Drosophila melanogaster: one gene and its partners. The gene in region 1 interacts genetically with each later gene. Each region holds a gene or a part of one and is shown in the gene's direction. Other genes may lie near its edges.

What was found.
Region 2: of Arp3 (region 1) and Cip4, changing one enhances a phenotype caused by changing the other (phenotypic enhancement), as found in Drosophila melanogaster (one study listed by BioGRID).
Region 3: of Arp3 (region 1) and alpha-Cat, changing one suppresses a phenotype caused by changing the other (phenotypic suppression), as found in Drosophila melanogaster (one study listed by BioGRID).

Annotation. Positions count from the first base shown.
Region 1 is NT_037436.4:8,111,775-8,118,520, reverse strand, and holds Arp3 (Actin-related protein 3), read left to right. Parts: upstream 1-2,618; 5' UTR 2,619-2,795; coding exon 2,796-2,839; intron 2,840-2,932; coding exon 2,933-3,113; intron 3,114-3,176; coding exon 3,177-3,491; intron 3,492-3,727; coding exon 3,728-4,264; intron 4,265-4,324; coding exon 4,325-4,408; intron 4,409-4,469; coding exon 4,470-4,565; 3' UTR 4,566-5,114; downstream 5,115-6,746. Other genes in the region: msk (moleskin), read right to left, coding at 188-364, 428-925, 981-1,216, 1,992-2,081; Nulp1 (nuclear localized protein 1), read right to left, coding at 5,349-5,509, 5,807-6,027, 6,083-6,409, 6,477-6,746. UniProt on the Drosophila melanogaster protein: Functions as ATP-binding component of the Arp2/3 complex which is involved in regulation of actin polymerization and together with an activating nucleation-promoting factor (NPF) mediates the formation of branched actin networks.
Region 2 is NT_037436.4:4,359,661-4,366,158, reverse strand, and holds the start of Cip4 (Cdc42-interacting protein 4), read left to right. Parts: upstream 1-2,184; 5' UTR 2,185-2,296; coding exon 2,297-2,411; intron 2,412-3,031; coding exon 3,032-3,132; intron 3,133-6,498. Other genes in the region: CG33514 (uncharacterized protein), read right to left, coding at 1-299, 359-663; mRpS6 (mitochondrial ribosomal protein S6), read right to left, coding at 949-1,347, 1,414-1,458.
Region 3 is NT_037436.4:23,334,025-23,340,704, reverse strand, and holds the start of alpha-Cat (alpha catenin), read left to right. Parts: upstream 1-2,604; 5' UTR 2,605-2,658; coding exon 2,659-2,830; intron 2,831-5,964; coding exon 5,965-6,341; intron 6,342-6,680. Other genes in the region: ND-MLRQ (NADH dehydrogenase (ubiquinone) MLRQ subunit), read right to left, coding at 1,025-1,171, 1,229-1,270. UniProt on the Drosophila melanogaster protein: Associates with the cytoplasmic domain of a variety of cadherins. The association of catenins to cadherins produces a complex which is linked to the actin filament network, and which seems to be of primary importance for cadherins cell-adhesion properties.

The DNA of each region.
Region 1 (6,746 bases):
AAAAACGAGTCAACTGATTGGAATCGACTTTTGTAACTGCAATTATAAACACTACATCTTATCAGCTTTAAAAATTTTCAGACTTTCTATCAAAGATTAGGTATCTCCTAATTAAGTAACATCGATTTTACATTCCAACTATATATCAAATGTCACATGAGAATTTATAGAATACTAAATTACTTACGCATTCTTCAGATAGTTGAGCACATCAGTGAGGACGCGTGGTGAGACGTAGACTCTGTTTCGGTACTGGTCGAGGATCTTGAGGAGCACCTCCAGCACGCCCTGGCTAAACGTGGGCAGATACCACTCTGCGAATTTTTGGTATTTTTCACTAACCACATTGCTGGGACTGCCATAACTAAATTTATACATACAACGTTAGTTATCTAGACTATGACTATAGATACTGCCGTCAACGTACCGCTCGAACATGCGAACCATGATGTGCAGGGCCCACTTCTTAGTCTTCCAGTAGGGGAACTCCGTTCGCTCATCATCGTCCAGGTGCGAGCTATCGGGCACTGCGCGATCAGCCACCTGACGACAGATCTCCATCCACTGCGAGAAGATCTCCTTGGTAATGAGGTCCAGTGGAAGGGTGTATTGCGTGAGGGCATAGTAGATCTTGAGAATTTGCTTTTGTAGCAGCACAGATTGCTCGGACTGCTCTGCCAGCAGTCGGACCATCAGCTGGTAGATCATGGGCAACAGTAGGTTCATTGCCTCGTTTAGCGGCGTCCTCTCCTCATGCCGCTTGTACTCGTAGGTCTTGACCAGCTGGTACATGGTTACCAGAGCTCCGTTCCAGCCGTTGACATCCTGGTTTTGCAGATATATGCTGATGCTATCCACCACCTGTGGCCAGCGTCCAGGGAAATCGCTTTTAATGATGTGATTGACGCAGACAGACAACTGGACCCTGTGTACAGAACGAAATTAGCCCCCTGGAAAGGATTTTCAATGGATTTACCCACCTAATCAACTCGGGGGCGTGCACAATAGCATCTACAATAGCGCCACGGATCATAGCCCGATCCTGTTCGTGTATAGAGAAGGGTATTGGCTCTCCAGGCTTGGCCTCGTGGTCCGACCAGCTGCTGTTGATCAGATTCTTGAGGTAGACAGCACCGGCCTGGCGCACCGGCTGTTCCACCGTCGTCTGCATAACGATCTGCAGTATGGTGGGCACAAATCCGATGATTTTGTGTATCTGTGGGGATTTTAATGTATAGAAATAAAATAGAATGGATATGTTTACACAGCTGTTTGGGGTTGGGTTAAATTTGAATTGGTCAAAGAATCAATGGCAGAAGCACTTTAAATTCCGTTCACAGAGCTCAATTAATATGGAGGAGCCAAGAACAACTGCTGGCCATAAGCGCTGATAAAGTTAATTGACAACAGGGGGGTTGGTGGGAGGCGATTGGGAGGGGCATGCAAATCGTTAGATGCTGACTCAGTCGTAATGAGCATGCCTCTACAGTGGGGCCAAAGCAATTGGTTAGTGGGGTGGGGTCTAATTAGACTGGCCGCTCTGATTGCCCACATTTATTTCCAAGGGAATTGCGTAAGCTTCAATCAAAGGGCATTCCGGCGATATTTCGAAAGTCTCAATTAAATATTTATTAACAATTCAGTGGATTTCCGAAGAATCACACGAAACTCGCAATAAATATGTACACATATAGAAATATATATAGCATACATACATATGTAGGTGCCCCAAAGATATCGACTTGTTGCCTCTGGGGCAACAACATAGAAGTCGGGATAATGGTAAACACATAAAGGGCAAACTTTTTGACCGATATCGGATTACACTATCCACACCCACACACTTGTACAACGACCAGAGTGATGAAGTGCGGGAGCGAGGGAGGTTAAAAGCGAACAATTAAAAAAGCACATGGTTTTCAGGCGATGGCGCCACCTCCAAAGACCTTTCGAATTCAAGTGCAGGCGTTTATTTTTGGGAGCAAACTCACCTGGGCCAGTTGATCCTCGGCCGCCTTGCGCTGTTCCGGATTCGGATCAATAGTTGCGCGCAACAGTTCCGTGAGTTTTTGTGCCTCCATTTTTGCTACTTTTGCTTGATTCTATGTTTCGCCGGTCTTTCTGCTGCACTTCGTCGTTTGGCGGTCACCTTGTGCCCACTGTGCACCCGCTGTTCTTGCCTTTATATAGACCTTGGTTTATGCTAGCCGAACCAGTGGCTCCAATGTGTGGGCCAAATTGCAAATCTCTTTTTCCGGAGGAAAAAACGTGGAAAAGACTCCACACACGCACACACACACCGCCGAAATTCGCGAGACGAACGAAGCTTAGAAGAAGAAGAAACAGCGCCTGTGTGTGTTGACTAACGCCGCAGTGTATGGGGCCCTACAGGGCTGCATTATGTTCGCCGGTAACAGTTTAGCCAAAAATTCGAGCAATATTGAAAAGCCTTCGCTGCGGAAAATCTAGGCACCATTTATATATAGACCACTTGCTTCATAAGGTAACTATATTTAAAGGCTTAAAAAACAGCGACTTTTCACAATTCCCGATAAATTGCCATTCAAGTTGCATGGCCAATCGATTGTTGCAGCCCTGGCAGCTGCTCGTACGTGAACACGCGAATGTGTGTGTGACGAAGAGCAAAGTGACACATAGTTGGAGGTGTGGTTGAAAATATATAGAAATCTGGGTTTATCTGCAACTGAAACGAAGGGAAATTTGTGTTAAAGGCGAGCGAAGATCGCAACTGAAGAGCTTTAACTGGCAGCAAGGCAAAAGGACGAGCAGCGACCATGGCAGGCAGGCTACCGGCATGCGTAATCGATGTGGGCACCGGGTGAGTTTTTAGTTTCGATTGCCCGTGGGGGTCTCCAATTGGACGGAAAGGAGGTCGACTGACTAACACTCTGCTTGTCTGCACATCCATCAGCTACTCCAAACTGGGATTTGCCGGGAATAAAGAGCCGCAGTTCATTATTCCCTCGGCGATTGCCATCAAGGAGTCGGCACGAGTGGGAGACACCAACACACGGCGCATCACAAAGGGCATCGAGGACCTGGACTTCTTCATCGGCGATGAGGCCTTCGATGCCACCGGCTACTCCATCAAGGTATGCTCTTGTATCTATGGTCATTAAGCAACCGACATCACATTTATCATTGCATTCCAATAGTATCCGGTGCGTCATGGTCTGGTGGAGGACTGGGACTTGATGGAGCGCTTTCTGGAGCAGTGCGTCTTTAAGTATCTGCGCGCCGAGCCTGAGGATCACTACTTCCTGCTGACTGAGCCGCCGCTAAATACGCCCGAAAATCGGGAGTACACCGCGGAGATAATGTTTGAGACGTTCAACGTTCCTGGTCTGTATATCGCCGTCCAGGCGGTGCTTGCCCTAGCCGCCAGTTGGGCCTCCCGGTCCGCAGAGGAGCGTACCCTTACAGGCATCGTGGTGGACAGCGGCGATGGAGTGACGCACGTCATACCCGTGGTAAGTAGCACAGATCTTATCTTATCAGCAGAGTTGGGTTGGCACTGGATTCGGTAAAAACTGTTTGAAAAGAGAACCCAAAACCGAAACAGTCGACGGATTTATTTAATAAATAAATAGCACATTCTGAGGCTATTATTAATACTACAGAATGTTATATTAAGAGGGAATTATTAAGATAAAATAGCGTATTAGTTATAACCATATAAATATATTAAGCTGTTTTTCATTTCTAGGCCGAGGGCTATGTGATCGGCTCCTGCATCAAGCACATTCCCATCGCGGGCCGCAATATCACCTCGTTCATCCAGAGCCTGCTACGCGAACGGGAGGTGGGCATTCCGCCGGAACAGAGCCTCGAGACTGCTAAAGCGATCAAGGAGAAGCACTGCTACATCTGTCCCGATATCGCCAAAGAATTTGCCAAGTACGACACGGAGCCGGGCAAGTGGATACGCAACTTTAGCGGCGTTAACACGGTAACCAAGGCGCCGTTCAATGTGGACGTGGGCTACGAGCGATTCCTGGGACCCGAGATCTTCTTCCATCCCGAGTTCTCAAACCCCGACTTTACCATTCCACTGTCGGAAATAGTGGATAATGTCATCCAAAACTGCCCAATCGATGTGCGGCGTCCTCTATACAATAACATTGTTCTGAGCGGTGGATCAACGATGTTCAAGGACTTCGGCAGGAGGTTGCAGCGAGATATCAAGCGATCGGTGGACACACGTCTCCGGATCAGCGAGAATTTGTCCGAGGGACGCATTAAGGTGGGTGATATCACAGCTGCTAATGAGTCATACTTCTTACTTTGATTATTTTTGTTACAGCCAAAACCCATTGATGTTCAGGTGATTACGCACCACATGCAGAGGTACGCCGTGTGGTTTGGAGGCAGCATGTTGGCTTCAACGGTAAGTTATAGTGGCCTAAGATCCGTAAAATCCTTTATCTCAATATTCTTCCCATTTCTAGCCCGAGTTCTATCAGGTGTGTCACACGAAGGCTGCCTACGAGGAGTATGGCCCCAGCATTTGCCGTCACAATCCCGTCTTTGGCACCATGACATAATTGATCCGATCCAATCGGCTTGCAGCAGTTATTTTTGATTTATTTTTCCATTTAAAATTGATTTATTGATTTATTCTCCAACTATATATATATATATATACATTGCGATTCGGTATTCCACGCTAAAGTATTAGTAATTATTCTTTTCTATATGTGTTTAGCTATTAACTCTGTGTAAATCAGTTTCGTTCTGTTTAATTTCGTGTGATTTTGTTAGGCTAACTATAAAGCAACAACTCCGATGTCTGCCAGTTCAACCCCCTATCTAAGGTGCATTATTTCTAGAAGTCGACTTTTATACCATACTCAAACACGATCACACACAGTCACACCGATCTAAGCTCTTGGAGAAATCCCGGCTCTATACACAATTAAATACGAAAACGCTCTACTTGTCATAGAAATATTTATAATTGCAATAACTGCAACCAATTCAAACACTGAATGAACAAAAAAGGAAAAACGAAAAGAAATATTGATGAGAAATCTGTTTGTTATATTGATAAGCGTAATTAAAAAGGCATTAAATAAATCAATAAAACATTCTTTAAGCTCAAACACTTTCGTCGCTTTCGATCTAAAGCTTTTACTGGAAAATTTTATTCAATGCATAAGTTACATATATATATTTTTTTGTGTTCAAATTGCTCTATGTATTGTATATATAAATTTTGTGACGGTGTCGCTAAGCTGAGAAAATAGCAAAAGGTGGTTTCCAAAAAACATGTCCCGAGCTAGAAATCCGAAACAACTTCGTTACGCCTCGCGTAATTGACAAACTGACTAGTCAATGTAGTCACTGGAGCCCTCCTCCTCGTCGTTGCTGCTCGTGGATTGTGCCGCCGCCGTTTCCGGCGAACGCAAGTGCTCTGCAATCCGGAAGTTTTGCAGGAAGTCTCGCATCGCGTCCATCATTAGCGTTAATGACTGCTGCAAACCAGCTTCTGCAATAATGTTGGAGGAGAAGTGTAACTACGATATCCGCTAGCGATTCTTTTGGAATTTCAGCATAATTTTAGGTTAGATTTTTGACGATTTTAAGAATGAGAAACAAAATATCGCTTTTAGCCAAGTTATTGAAACAAAAGCCAAAGCTTTAATACAATTTCGGGATATGAACGAAATTAAGCAAAGCCATAATACAACCAGCGAAACATATTCTAAGATTCATGCTCTGTGACGAAACGGGGGCGACAAAATCGGTTTTATCTCAAGATATTTTTAATAATGCTCATACGAACCTTCTCCTTCGCCAGCTACGCCGGCAGCTCCTTGTTCAATGCCCACTTCAATGTTAGCATCGCCTGCAGCTGCTCCCGCACCTGCTGCTGGTGCTGCTCCTTCTTGTAGCTGAGCATTTGCAGCTAGGTTGTTAATGTTAAACGAAGGCAAGAGCGATTGAAAGAACATTGACACAGAATTGTTCGTGTTCGTTGTGGGGCTGCTGCTTGACGAAGATTTTCTGCAAGTACTGGTTTTTAGAATTTACTAACTTTGAGCCGATTCGAACGACATACCGATGATAGCAGTTGACGCTGTTCGGTGGCGGCAGTGGATCATAGGTCATAATGGCTTGCTTCTCCTTGGACACGAAGACCGCCAGTGGAACTTTCTCCTTGTAATCGGAGAGTATGACATGTCGAAGAATGGGCCTTGGTGGTGTTCCACTATATCGCAGTGATCGCTTCTCCTTGTACTCATTAACCAGGGGATCCTTACTCTCAATGCGATCTAACACTATGTTCACGTTGGATTCCAACCAGGGTAGCACCTCGTTCTGACGCCAAACGACTCTTGCACGGCACACATACAGGCACACCAGCTGGTGCAGGGCGGGCGATTGACTGGTAAACAAGATAAGACATTAAATTCCATACCACTAATCATTCACGGAGATAAGACTCCACTTACTTGCCCGACACATCTGCAAAGAAGTACGATGAGGCCAGGACCCTCTTGTCCGTTTGCACCGACATCTCGTCCAAAAGAGGACGTAAAACACCCGGGAACATTAGTAGGGCGTATTGCAGTGCCTGGTTAGAGCGTTCACAAGCGCCATAGAGCGTGTGTAGAGCCAAAGCATACGAGTAGGCCATATTGGGCAGCTGATTGAGGTTCCTCGCGGCGTTATACTTTTCATAGAACTCTACCAACCATTCAAACTGCTTGCTGCGCAAGGCA
Region 2 (6,498 bases), 3.8 Mb from region 1:
TGAAATGCTGTGCCTTCAGACGCAGTGGAAGTGCCTCCTCCGAGAAGACAGTGAATTTCTTGGCCATCGACGGCGTCATCTGGAACAAGTGTGCGGCGGTGGCACCCTTCATGTCCATAATGAAAACTACTCCATTGACATTGGCGTAGTCGTCCTCCAAAATGGCAATCTCCTGCATTGCCTGGGCCACTTGCATGCACTCCAGCATTGTGTACTTCTCCACTGGCACCAATCCCATGCGCCAGATCCCGATGCGAGGTCCATTTTCATTCAGCGGAGTGGGCAGGTAGATGATGGCACTGAATTGACAGAATTGCATTGATAAATTAAATTAGTTAGCTGGCGTCAAAATCCTTACCCCGTTTGATGAATCTCCCGGAACTTGCTATCCGTGGTGTTGGTAACTCGGAAATAGTCCGGATACTTGGTCTTCAGCGTGTAGTACTTATCTAACTTGGACTTGGCCCGCTCCAAACTGTACTTGCAGCCGCGCAAGAAAGCCACCAGAAACTGATCATCCATTCGGGGATTTAGATGCGGCTGCTGCTCGATCCATGTCTTAAACGCCTGCAGATCGGCTTCGAGACGTTCGGGATCCTCCTTGAGCTGCTCCTTGGCAACTTTTTGCAGCTCTGGCGTAAGTGGACGGATTTGCGGTGACATTTCTAGGTCGTTTGCGGTCAGGAGGAAGTACTAGTGAACTGCTCGACGATTCTTGAGGCACTACCTGGACAATTTACGTTCTATTGATGGTCGATTATACGGAGCTTTATCAATTAATTGATAAGCGTCCGATTGGGCGCCATAAACCAAACAAAGACAAACATTGTGAAAAGTACTAAGATAACAGGCGCATTTCATAAGGAATGCTTCAGTTTGAATTAGCCAAAGATCGAGGAACCCACAACCGGTTTTAGCATACATAATTAACGCGTTTTATTTGGTGTTTTATTTTTGGAAGGGATAGTAGTCCAGGCCGGAGTTGTAGTTGAACTTCTTCTTTTGCTTCTTCTGGGCGGCCGCAATGATCTCCTGCACATCCTTGCGATACGCGGGTGGCAGCATCTCCTCGTGCAGCGTGCAGGGCTTCTGCTCGGGCTCCTCCACCTTGAAGATGTAGCGCCGTATGATGTCGATGTCGCGGCCAAACTCCTCCTTCAAGTCTGCGATCTTAGTGGGCGCCGTATCAAAGGCGATGGTGAAGTGGGTGCCTTCCCGGTGAACCACCCCGTGTTCGCTGACTTTGTGGGGCAGGGCGCGGGATCCCAGGTTCTCCAGCTTCCGGATAATGCCGCCCTTGTCCAGGATGGACTCGGCCGTTCGCCTAATCACGGAAATCAGTTCGGGCTGCGGGCGGTGTACAATTCTTATTTACTTTTATGTAACTGCCGGTGGATTTCATGTGCTACTCACGCGAGGCAATTGGCGGAGCACCAGTGCTAGTTCGTAAGAAGGCATTGTGACCGGTGAATTGTATGAGCTGGTAAGGAATTTAATTTCTTATATTAACGTTGTTTCTCTCAAGTTTTAATTCATTAAAAAGTTAGTAAATCTAATGTAATTGTTGACCCACCAGCTGATAGTGTTAACAGCTGATGCAAGGAAAGTACTAAAAATGATCTAGCGCCTGGCGCACATGCTTACACCTTACAGTGTGCCAAAATCTATTGCTCCAGTGAATTTAATGTTCAAATTAATATATTATATACAACAATAAGCGATGCTCTTGTTACTTTAAAAGCAATAAACAATAATAAGAAGTTTCTTCCAAGCTCAATAATAGCTTTCTTCATCTGTTTCAACGTTATGTTATTCCATAAAATTATTAGTTTTCAAGGCCACAATAATATATTTAAAAAGTCTACAATTAACGTTAAATTATAAAAAAAAATGGGGGCACGTATTAACGAAAGTTTCATATATTTTATATAATAATAATTAAACTTTACAGTTGCTCTCAATATGGGTTCATATCCCCGCTAGATGTTAAAGAGTTAGAAATTAGGTCGCCATCGGTCTCTGGTCACACTGCAAACGCAGAGGTGTGCCTATTCAAACACATTGCGGTCACACTGTGTATTGATGCCGAAGTGAAAAAACGAGCGGAAAGTTGCGAGCGGATAAAATTGTTTTTTCGCACGCCAAAAAGGAGAAACAAATGCTTGCGTTGTGTGAGTGCGGGTGTTTTAACTGTGTGCTTGTGTGTGTGTGCAAATGTCGCCCGAATTATGACGCATGCGAAAGTGCAGGCGCTAAATAAAACCCAAAATCGAAAGAAGTTGCAACTGCAAAGCAAATGCTAAAAAAAAAGTTAGCACAAATAACAAAAAAAAAAACGGTGGCAGATCTAGAAGCAGAGTGCGTGCATTCGGCAATTGCGTTTACTTGTGTGCGTGTGTGTGCGAAATTATGTAAATACAACAATAGTAGAATTCCAATTGTCCTCTCTTTCTGCTTTTCTCAATTATGAAATGCAGTTGCATCGCTCTCTATCTCTATCGCTCCCTCTCTCTCCTCACTCTCTTTGCGCATCGAAATGCCAGTGCATAGAATTTTCTTATTTTGCACTTATCACTAAACAACTCCCAAAAAAAGTGTTTAAATTCTCATTATCTATAATTTCCTTCAACTTCATTTTTCTACCTGCCGCTGCAACTGACACGTCTGCATTGCCACTCTTTTTTGTTTTTACATGCTTTCTTACCTGCCCAACCACCGAAAAAAAAAAAAACAAAAATGAAATATATCTGACTCGAATTGCTCTCTTTCATAGAAAATTAAACATCGCGCCGCGCAACGCTGAAAAAAATATAGAAAAACAAACGGAAAATGAAAACGAAAAAGCAGCCATAAAATTAATTAACCTTTGCGGGAAAATATAAAACAAAAACGAATAAAAGTTCTCATCTTTTGCTCTTCTCCCTCGCTTTCTACCTTTCTCCCTCTCTCCTCATCGTCTGTGGATTACATTATCTTCTGTGGATTATTATTATTAAAACAACAACAACAACGACGGCAACAACAAATACAGTGGCAAGCGGATCGAGCAGAAGCAGCAGCAACAACAAACTGGCCGAATCGGAAAACTCAGCGCAAAACTCCAACAACATGAGTTGGGGCACCGAGCTATGGGTGAGTTTTTCCTGGATTTAGAGGGGCTATATCTTCAGATAAGAAGTCGTATTTCATTGATAAAACAGGGGGTTCCTATAAGCAACAAATACATAGTTCTGCTTGTTTGAGGAGTATGAATGTATACCTATAGCTAAAAATCAAAACAAATTCGTAGTTTAGCTTGATCAGAATCATTAAGGTGTCCATTACCAGCTCAAAGAAGCTGGGGTCGGAAAAATCGAATTTTTGAAATTTGAAAGCTGGAATCGTTTGCCCATTTTTTGCCCATGTTTGCCCACCAATTAGTTTTTTTTGCCCACGTCCAGTTTTTGAGATATGAATTTTCGAAAAAGTTCGAAAATTTTCGAAAATCAAAAATTTCGCTTTTTTCAAATTTTTTTTTTTTAAATCGCAATAACATCGTTTGCCCACGTTTGCCCACCCTTTAGAATTTTGAAAAAATTTATACTTTAGAAAATATAAGGCTTTTAAGTTTACCTCGGTCTAATCAGAGAGTAAATCGTTTGCCCATCTCTTAAAACCAAATATTATCAACAAAAAACGTTTGCCCAACCATTATTATTAGTTTTTATCGTTTGCCCACCCTTTAAAAAACCTTTAACAAAAATTTTTTTTCGATTGCCCACACTTGAAATACAACTAATTTCGTTAGCCCACCTCTTCAAAATAAAACTTTTCAATAAAAAACGTTTTCCCACCATTTAAAAATAAATAATTTCGATTGCCCACCTTTTAAAACTAAATAATTTCGTTTGCCCATCCTTTAAAATTCATTTTTAACGTTTGCCCACCCTTTAAAATTTGTTTTTTTCGTTTGCCCACCTCTTAAAAATGGTTTTTTCGATTTTTCACCTATTAAAACTAAATTTGTACATATGTACATATGTAATAATTGTAAGATGTGGCGCCAAAAGCACAGTTACTTACAAAAGAACAGTTATTTACATATTTACATACATTTTCAATATATCCATAGTGTTAATCATTCATGAATTGTAACATCAATTTTTCTTAATCATTGTTTCATTTCATGGAAAATATTTTATATTGCAATATAATATATATGCAAAAAAATGTATGTATGTTTATCAACACTCTCCAAGCTCAAGAAAATTCTGGAATAAAATATTTTCCATGAAATGAAACAATGATTAAGAAAAATTGATGTTACAATTCATGAATGATTAACACTATGGATATATTGAAAATGTATGTAAATATGTAAATAACTGTTCTTTTGTAAGTAACTGTGCTTTTGGCGCCACATCTTACAATTATTACATATGTACATATGTACAAATTTAGTTTTAATAGGTGAAAAATCGAAAAAACCATTTTTAAGAGGTGGGCAAACGAAAAAAACAAATTTTAAAGGGTGGGCAAACGTTAAAAATGAATTTTAAAGGATGGGCAAACGAAATTATTTAGTTTTAAAAGGTGGGCAATCGAAATTATTTATTTTTAAATGGTGGGAAAACGTTTTTTATTGAAAAGTTTTATTTTGAAGAGGTGGGCTAACGAAATTAGTTGTATTTCAAGTGTGGGCAATCGAAAAAAAATTTTTGTTAAAGGTTTTTTAAAGGGTGGGCAAACGATAAAAACTAATAATAATGGTTGGGCAAACGTTTTTTGTTGATAATATTTGGTTTTAAGAGATGGGCAAACGATTTACTCTCTGATTAGACCGAGGTAAACTTAAAAGCCTTATATTTTCTAAAGTATAAATTTTTTCAAAATTCTAAAGGGTGGGCAAACGTGGGCAAACGATGTTATTGCGATTTAAAAAAAAAAAATTTGAAAAAAGCGAAATTTTTGATTTTCGAAAATTTTCGAACTTTTTCGAAAATTCATATCTCAAAAACTGGACGTGGGCAAAAAAAACTAATTGGTGGGCAAACATGGGCAAAAAATGGGCAAACGATTCCAGCTTTCAAATTTCAAAAATTCGATTTTTCCGACCCCAGCTTCTTTGAGCTTCCATTACCTCCTATATTCTTGGATATTAAAGAGGCGCTTATCTTCAGATAGGCTATATATATTGAAAGGCTCCAAACCTAAAATATAGATAGAAACGACAACATTGGTCTTATTAAGAAATTGTAAGCACTCATCAAAAATTACAAATTGCAAGCCACACAATTTTAATTAATTAAACATTTTTGTTTTGCCAAGCACTTGGTAAATGCAATTAAACTTCTCAAATATTTTACAACTACCAGAAAATAAGCTCGAAATTCCGGTTTTTTAAAACCAACTGACACATTGTTCCTGTCAGAAAACCCTACATTTTCTAATTGGATACCCAATCTCAGTGAACTTAAGCGTGTCAATTAATTATTATTTCAATGTCATCGGTTTACCCATAGGAAATCCACTCAAATGCTCGAGCAGTGAGAATTTAACAAATTGCTTCCCATAAGCCAAAGTGCAGGCAAATGTTTTAAGAACGCACGCTTAAAGCGTCCGTCTCTCTCAGCCGCTGCATTGCCGTCTCTTTCCGTCTGCCGACCAAGTTGGAACTCGAAACTTTATAAAAAAAAAAACTGGTTTTGCGGGTTTTATGTAAATTACTGCCATATGAGCACGGCCAGCAGCAGCAGCGTGCGCCTCAATTCAATATGTGCTGCACACACATATATATATGTATATTTATGTATGTATATTTTTCGGATATATCTGCTTTCTTGTTGTTTTTATTTTCCTCATAGTTTGCGTTCTGTTTCGCCAAAGACCCCACATTCCACTTCGATCCATCGGATTCCCAGTGCCGGGTCTCCACATTATTATTATTATTATTATTTATTTTTTTTTTTGTTTTTTCCGCTCTGTCTATGGGCATTCTCCGGCTCACAGCTGTTTTTTTTCTGACGCTCTTTTCATGTTTCGTTTGGGCCGAGGGCGTTGACACGCCCAGCTAAAGCTTACCTGTCTATACAGGGATTTAAAAGATACAAAAAACCATTTTAGCTTGCCTCAGCTGCCTCCTTTTTTCCGCCGTTTTAGCCCGATTTAGTTTTTGCTGATTTCAATTCAATTCGGATACTCGAATATCGATGGGCTTCACATGCCCTCCGCCTTTCGGGGGTAGTTTTCCTTCATCAGACAGCAGCAGCCAGCCGGCACACCCTCAAAATGTGCGCTGGTGTGCGTGTGCGCTCGTAGGTGTGTGCGCGTGTGTGCTTGTGTGTGTGTGTAAGCGGAAAATTCGCCTCGAATGAAGAGGAGGTGCCCCGATGTCAGGACCAAAATTGCACGTCTAGACATCGTTTTGCAATCTGTTTTGCTGGCACTTTGTGCACTTTTTTTTCCATAGTTTTTCTCGTTTTTAGTTGCAGGGATTTAGCCAGTGTCTAATGTTGGTTT
Region 3 (6,680 bases), about 15 Mb from region 1:
GTTTTAAATAACTAGATTATTATAAAATTGATAAAATTAAAGGGTTTGATTGGCGTTTAAGTCGCAATCACTACATATTGAAGCATATCCCTCTTCCTTTTTATTTAAGGGTTGAATTATTCCTTAATACGCACTAATGACACCCCATCATTTCTTAATTTCACTTATTTTACCTATTTACCTAAATTACCCATATATATATATATATATACATTTTTTCTGCCATAAAGAATGGTGAGTATGGTGTTTTAATAATTTGTTATTAGCTAGTTGATATACGCAAATATCTCCGTTTAGAGATTGTTAACAGGCGGTGTTTACGGTTATTGGGAATTGTTTTGCGAGACAAATAATAAAAGTGAAAAAAAGTATCACTGTACAAAATAGTCGACTTCCTCGACTATCAGATACCCGTTATTCAGCTAGTTAAAATGCCATAGCGAAATTTCATGATTTGTCTGGGATATCGATAGATATTGGTGAATAAAATTTTTGGGAAATCAATCAAAATTTAAAAAACTAATAAAAATGTGAAAAAATGTGGCAGTTTTTGAAGATTTGTGGGCGTGGCAACATAGGCCAACAAACTTGCGCTGCGGGTATTTCTCTAGAATCTGTATGCTTAATCTCAACCTTCTAGATTGTATAGTTCCTGAGATCTCGACATTCATACAGACGGACGGACAGCGTCAGATCGACTCGGATATTGATCCTGATCGAGAATATATAGGCTTCATATGGTGAAAACTCTGCCTTCTACCTATTACATACTTTTCAATGAATCTAGTATAACATCTTACTCTACGAGTAACGGGTATAACTACAACTACAACATAGTATATATTCGTGAAATATATATGTGTAATGGTTATGGCATGTCGGTTAAATCGCCAAAAAAGTAAAAAATTGCAAAAATACATATATCTATAAGCAAATTTGGTTATTAACAAAACCACGGTCGAGGGCTTTTCTTGGCCCATTAAAATATGAAAATAGAATATGAATATTAAGGAGCAAATCTAACCTTGTATTGCTTTTCTTTGTACTCTTGCCATGGTTCGGGATTTGATGTGCGATTCCAAGTGACATCGGGATTACGAGTAGCAAGTCGAGCCATATAGTAGACGGCTCCAATAGCTCCCGCTCCAACGCACACATAAAGTGGAATTAACTGAACAAATTTTTGTTATGCAATCAACAGATAACTTAATATAATCATAAAACTTACAGCTGGATTTTTTTTAAGACTTTGCAGACCAAGACCTTGCATTTTGTCTACGTTATAATTAAAATGTATTTAATATGTAAGAAAGAAACACATTTATAAAAAATTACCTAACTTTACTCAATCCAATAAAACAGAATGGAACTATATATTAGATATGGACATATTTCGATGCCAACAGCGATGTCATCGATGTTTTCCAAACATCGGCAACTCGATGTTGACTCAAACATAAAAATATATGTATTCATAACAGGCAGATGTCATATTATTTTATATGTGACATGCCAGTATTAAGCGATGCTGGTATAGAATGGGAACTCAAAAATCATGCACATAAATATTTTTTTTTACATCTAAGGAATATATTATTTTATATACGTAATTTTTATGCATGCTTGTCGCACAGGTTTTATGTTAGGCTGTCATAATAATTTCAAGCCGCCGGGAACGATATAATCTTCTGAAGTAGTCATGCATTTTTGTTACATTTTGTTTATATGTCGAAAGGATTTTTTTTCAATAATAACAAGAAAAAATGCTATGTAGACTTTCCCGACTATTAAATATCCGTTACTCAGCTAGAGGCAATATGATCGCGAAATATCATAATTTTTCTGGGACACGGATAGAAATTGGTGAATGCAATGAGAAAATATTTAAAATTGTTCAAAAATGTGGGCGTGGTCGTTTTTTGGTCGGTTTGTATCGTTAGAGTGGGCGTGGCAAAAAGTTTTATGACAAATCAATAGAAATTTACAAAACTAATAAATATATGAAAATATATATCAACACAATTTTCAAAAGTGTGGGCGTGGCAGCGTTAGGCGTTAGGTTAATATCATATGGTTAATCTAAGCTTTATAGCTTATATTGTTCCTGAGATCTCGACGTTCATACGGACGGACAGACGGACACGACCAGATCGTGTCGACTACTGATCCCGATCAATTGTTCCAATGCTTCCATCAGCCTATTAGGAACTTTTAAACGATTCTGGTATACCCTATTACTCTACAAGTAACCGGTATAATAATAAACATAGAAAACAACAATCCTGATATGTGTGGAATATGTTAATTCATTAAATGAAATATTTTTGTTGGTAAAAATTAAAAATATTATTAAACTTTTCTCAATCGTCTTCAATACTTGAATATCACATATTTTTCACGAGAGTTCAATCATCAAAAATCAATTTTAATTATTTTCTTAAAGTCATTACTAAAGAATGACTCACAGGACTCAAAACTACAAAACTATTTAACTTATTCATTATATATTGGTTACGTTACGTAGGTCATGTGGCTCAGTGGGACTATGATATATTTAAAGCCCGCATTCTTTACAGCACTGCAAAGTTACAATCCTGGTACTATTAATAATCAGTGGACTACATATTATCGAAAAAGGCGTCGTCGGTTAAAGAATTTATGTTAAAACCTGATAAAATGGGCACGTTAACCGATTTCGGACAGATAGCTTTGAAATGGGATCCCAAAAATTTGGAAATTCGCACAATGTCAGTTGAAAAAACACTTGAACCCCTTGTATTACAAGTAACTACTCTTGTAAATACCAAGGGCCCAAGCAAAAAGAAAAAAGGTAAAATGTTTATAGCTTATAGTGCCTAGAAAACCTAAATATTAGAACTTTCAATTTTAAAGAAACTTTTTGCGAGTCGTGAATAACTGTGCGTATACTCATTTTAATTTTATTAATTATAAGTATTGTGTACATACGAGAAATGATAGAAAATGTTCTAAAACGGCTGTGTATACTATACATACATATTGTGACATCTTAAATTTTGTAGGATAGAAAGCATTTGAATTCATGTAACAAGCTTAAAACTGAAAAGGAATGTGAAAGCATCTTTTACCTCTTTAAACGCAAAATTGCGAAAATATAAAAAAATAGCCTATTAGTGATTTACATATATTTTGATTGTGTTTCATTTTGTTATATGTATATCTTTCCAATTTCTATCGATATGCAATAAAAATGTTCAAATTTATAGTTCGCTTGGCCACTAGCTGAGTAACAGGTATCTGATAGTCAAGGAAATTTACTATGGGGTTCGCTGTAATATATATTTGTTACTCGTAAAGTAAAATGGGGTACTAGATTCGTTGAAAACTAAGTATGAGGTAGAAGAAAGCGGTTCCAAAAAAAAAATATATATTCTAGATCAGGATCAATAGCCGAGTTGATCTGGCCATGTCCGACTTTCTGTCCGTATGACAAAGCGTTTTCATATGAATTCATATTTTCATTAGTCTTTTAAATTTCTATCGATTTACCTTTTTTTTTTATTAGAGTTTATCATTTATTATTAGTCATACGTCAATAGGAATCGTTCAGTTCCTTCTGAACTTAACCTAATGTGTAGCTTAAGAGATATGGATTCCGTTCCTTAATTAAAGTGTATACAAATGTACCGTGGAGAGAATCGATTTATCAAAAAACGTTTTGCAACGCCCACTCTAACGCCCAAAAATTGGTTTTCACACAAAAATGTTTTGGTATTTTTCATACTATTTTATTGATCTTGTAAATCTATTGATATGCCAAAATACCTATTGTCAGGCCCACAAACCGCCCAAACTTTTTGAAAAATATATTTCTTGTTTAAATATAATTATTTCTTTTTCAATTTTTACCGATTTTCCAAAAAAATTGAAATCTTTCACACTTCTAGTTGAGTAACGGGGTATCTGATAGTCGGGGACTCGGTTATAGCATCCATTCCAGTTTTTGTTTTAAGTCATGTCAATTCTTTTTGCAAAACCATTTTGGTCAGGAGAACTATATACAGAACTATCACAGGATGTAAACAGCTGTCAGGCCCTTAAAATACAATAAATTGTTACTTCATATTATTTAATTACTGTTTTTATACCCGTTACTCGTAGAGTAAAAGGCAGAAGGAAGCGTTCCCGACCATTAAAAGTAAATATTTTTTGGGCTGGCTCCAGCTCTCTTGAATTTTTGTTCAAGAGCCAGATTTCGGAGAGCTCTTCAGCCAGCAACTTCATTTTACGCATACAGTGACAGCCGAAAACTTTTTGTGTGTACACGAATACTCATGCATTGTAAATTTGACAAAATATGCCCTACACTTCAGAAGTTTTTGGAATTTAAATCTATATTATTTTTGGTCAATTGGCATTATTTTAAAAATAATTTTTTCCTATTCGTATTATTTTTATGAAATATATTTTTTTAAATGTATTAAACTGTATGTGTTAAACTACAAAAGTAATAATAACTATTCCATATCGCAACTTTTTTTCATTTATAAGTTTAAATATTGATGAACCTAATATTAATGCTGTAAAAAAAAACTTCTCCCAGTCCCCTGTTGAAAACTCCAAACATGTTAATTCGTTTCTTAGATCAAAATTGATTTCGGCCCGAAAATCGTCTTCTAGCACAAGTACGCACACATATACACTTTCACGTTTAAACGTTACTCACACAAGCAACCAAAGTCTATTATTTTACGCTCTCAATATTATTCGAGAGAAAAGAGCACAATCTTGGCCGTCACCAAACAAGTAGCTGCTTAGTGAAAAACCAATGTATGGCCCTTACGCATCTTGTTATTCTAGTGTCTTTGATCTGACCCTGTCCGCCCTTCTGTCTGTCCGTTCGTATGAACCTCGAGTTCTCAGGAACTATAAAAGGTTGAGATTAAGACATTTACGCAGCTCAAGTTTGTTGACCCATGTTGGCACACCTATTCTACCGCCCAGAGCTGCTACGCCTGACCTTTGGAAAAATGTGAAGTTTTTTCATATTTTTATTAGTCGTGGAAATTTCTATAGACTTGCCAAAACTGTATGGTAAAAGAGTATACCAGATTCGTTAAATTCCGACTATATAAAGTATATATATTCTTGATCAGGATCAATAGCCGAGTCGATCTAGCCATGTCCGTATGAACGTCGACACATTAGCTAGAAGGTAAAGCCGCCCTAAAACCGCCCAAAACTGACACGCCTACATTTTTGAACCATTTTTCTATGTGCCTAAAATTTTTTGCCACGCCCACTCTTACGCCCTAATTTTTTATAATTTTTTTAGTCTTGTAAATTTTTATCGATTGACCAAACACTTTTTTTCGCAAGTGCGAGAGTACAAGATAGATAGAGGGCGAGAGAGAGTAGCTTAGACAACGAAAGATAATCGCCTATCTGAGATGCCGTAGAGCTTAATGTTGTGTCTCCAAAGTTGGCATGTTTACAAATAAGAAATTTAGGCATTGCTGGCTGATGCAAGACCCGAAAATCGATTTTATTAATGTGATCATTTGATCATTACTTAATGCCGTTTTGTTTTCTTATAAAAATCTATTTTCGCTAGCCCCATTGCAAACGATTTTTTTTGACGAAGCGTAAACAATTTCCTTGGCCTTGGAATCAAATAAGTTTAAATCAATTATAGTATTGAAAATGTGTGTTGAATATTGCATTCTGCAAAAAAACAGATGCCGTTCGAATTAATAGTATTTAAGGCTCGTAGACTCGGCGTTTTCCATCTTAAACTTTAAGCTGTTTGGCAGCTTCATTTAGGTAAGTTGACTCATTTGTAAATTTCTTTGGTGATCGAGAGGAAATAATCAACTTTTACATATATATATATTTAAGTGGTTTAAAAATATCAAAAAACGTATAAACATTGTCGAATAATCTTCTCAATTTTAATAGTTTCTAATTTGTATTTTGTATTTGCAGGAAAATCAAAGCGGGCCAGCGCATTAGTTGCAGCTGTTGAAAAAGCTACAGAAAATTTTATTCAAAAAGGTGAACAGATCGCTTACGAGAACCCAGACATTACACAAGAAATGTTAACAGCTGTGGATGAAGTAAAAAAAACTGGAGATGCTATGAGCATTGCAGCCAGAGAATTTTCTGAAGATCCGTGCAGTTCCCTGAAGAGAGGAAATATGGTGCGCGCAGCTAGGAATCTGTTGTCAGCTGTAACCCGCTTGCTGATTTTAGCTGATATGGTTGATGTACATTTGCTCTTAAAATCACTCCACATTGTCGAAGATGATCTAAACAAACTCAAAAACGCTTCGAGTCAGGACGAGCTTATGGATAATATGAGGGTATGTGTCGGAATAAAATAAAGAAATATTATTATCGTATATGAGAGCAATTCTATGTTTTGCCCTCCTATAGTCTTCGATAAATGAGTTTTATTTGTAACCAACACAAATTTATATGCTATGATTAATATTAAGCATGCAGAATTCAGTGACGCAGACTACAATTTGTATTATACCCGTTACTCGTAGAGTAAAAGTTTATATTAGATTCGTTGAAATGTGTGTAACAGGTAGAAGAGAGCGTCCGTATGTCCGTATCAACGTCTCGATCTCAGGAACTATAAAAGCTAGAAGGTTGAGATTAAGCATACAGATCTTAGACACAGACGCAGCGCAAGT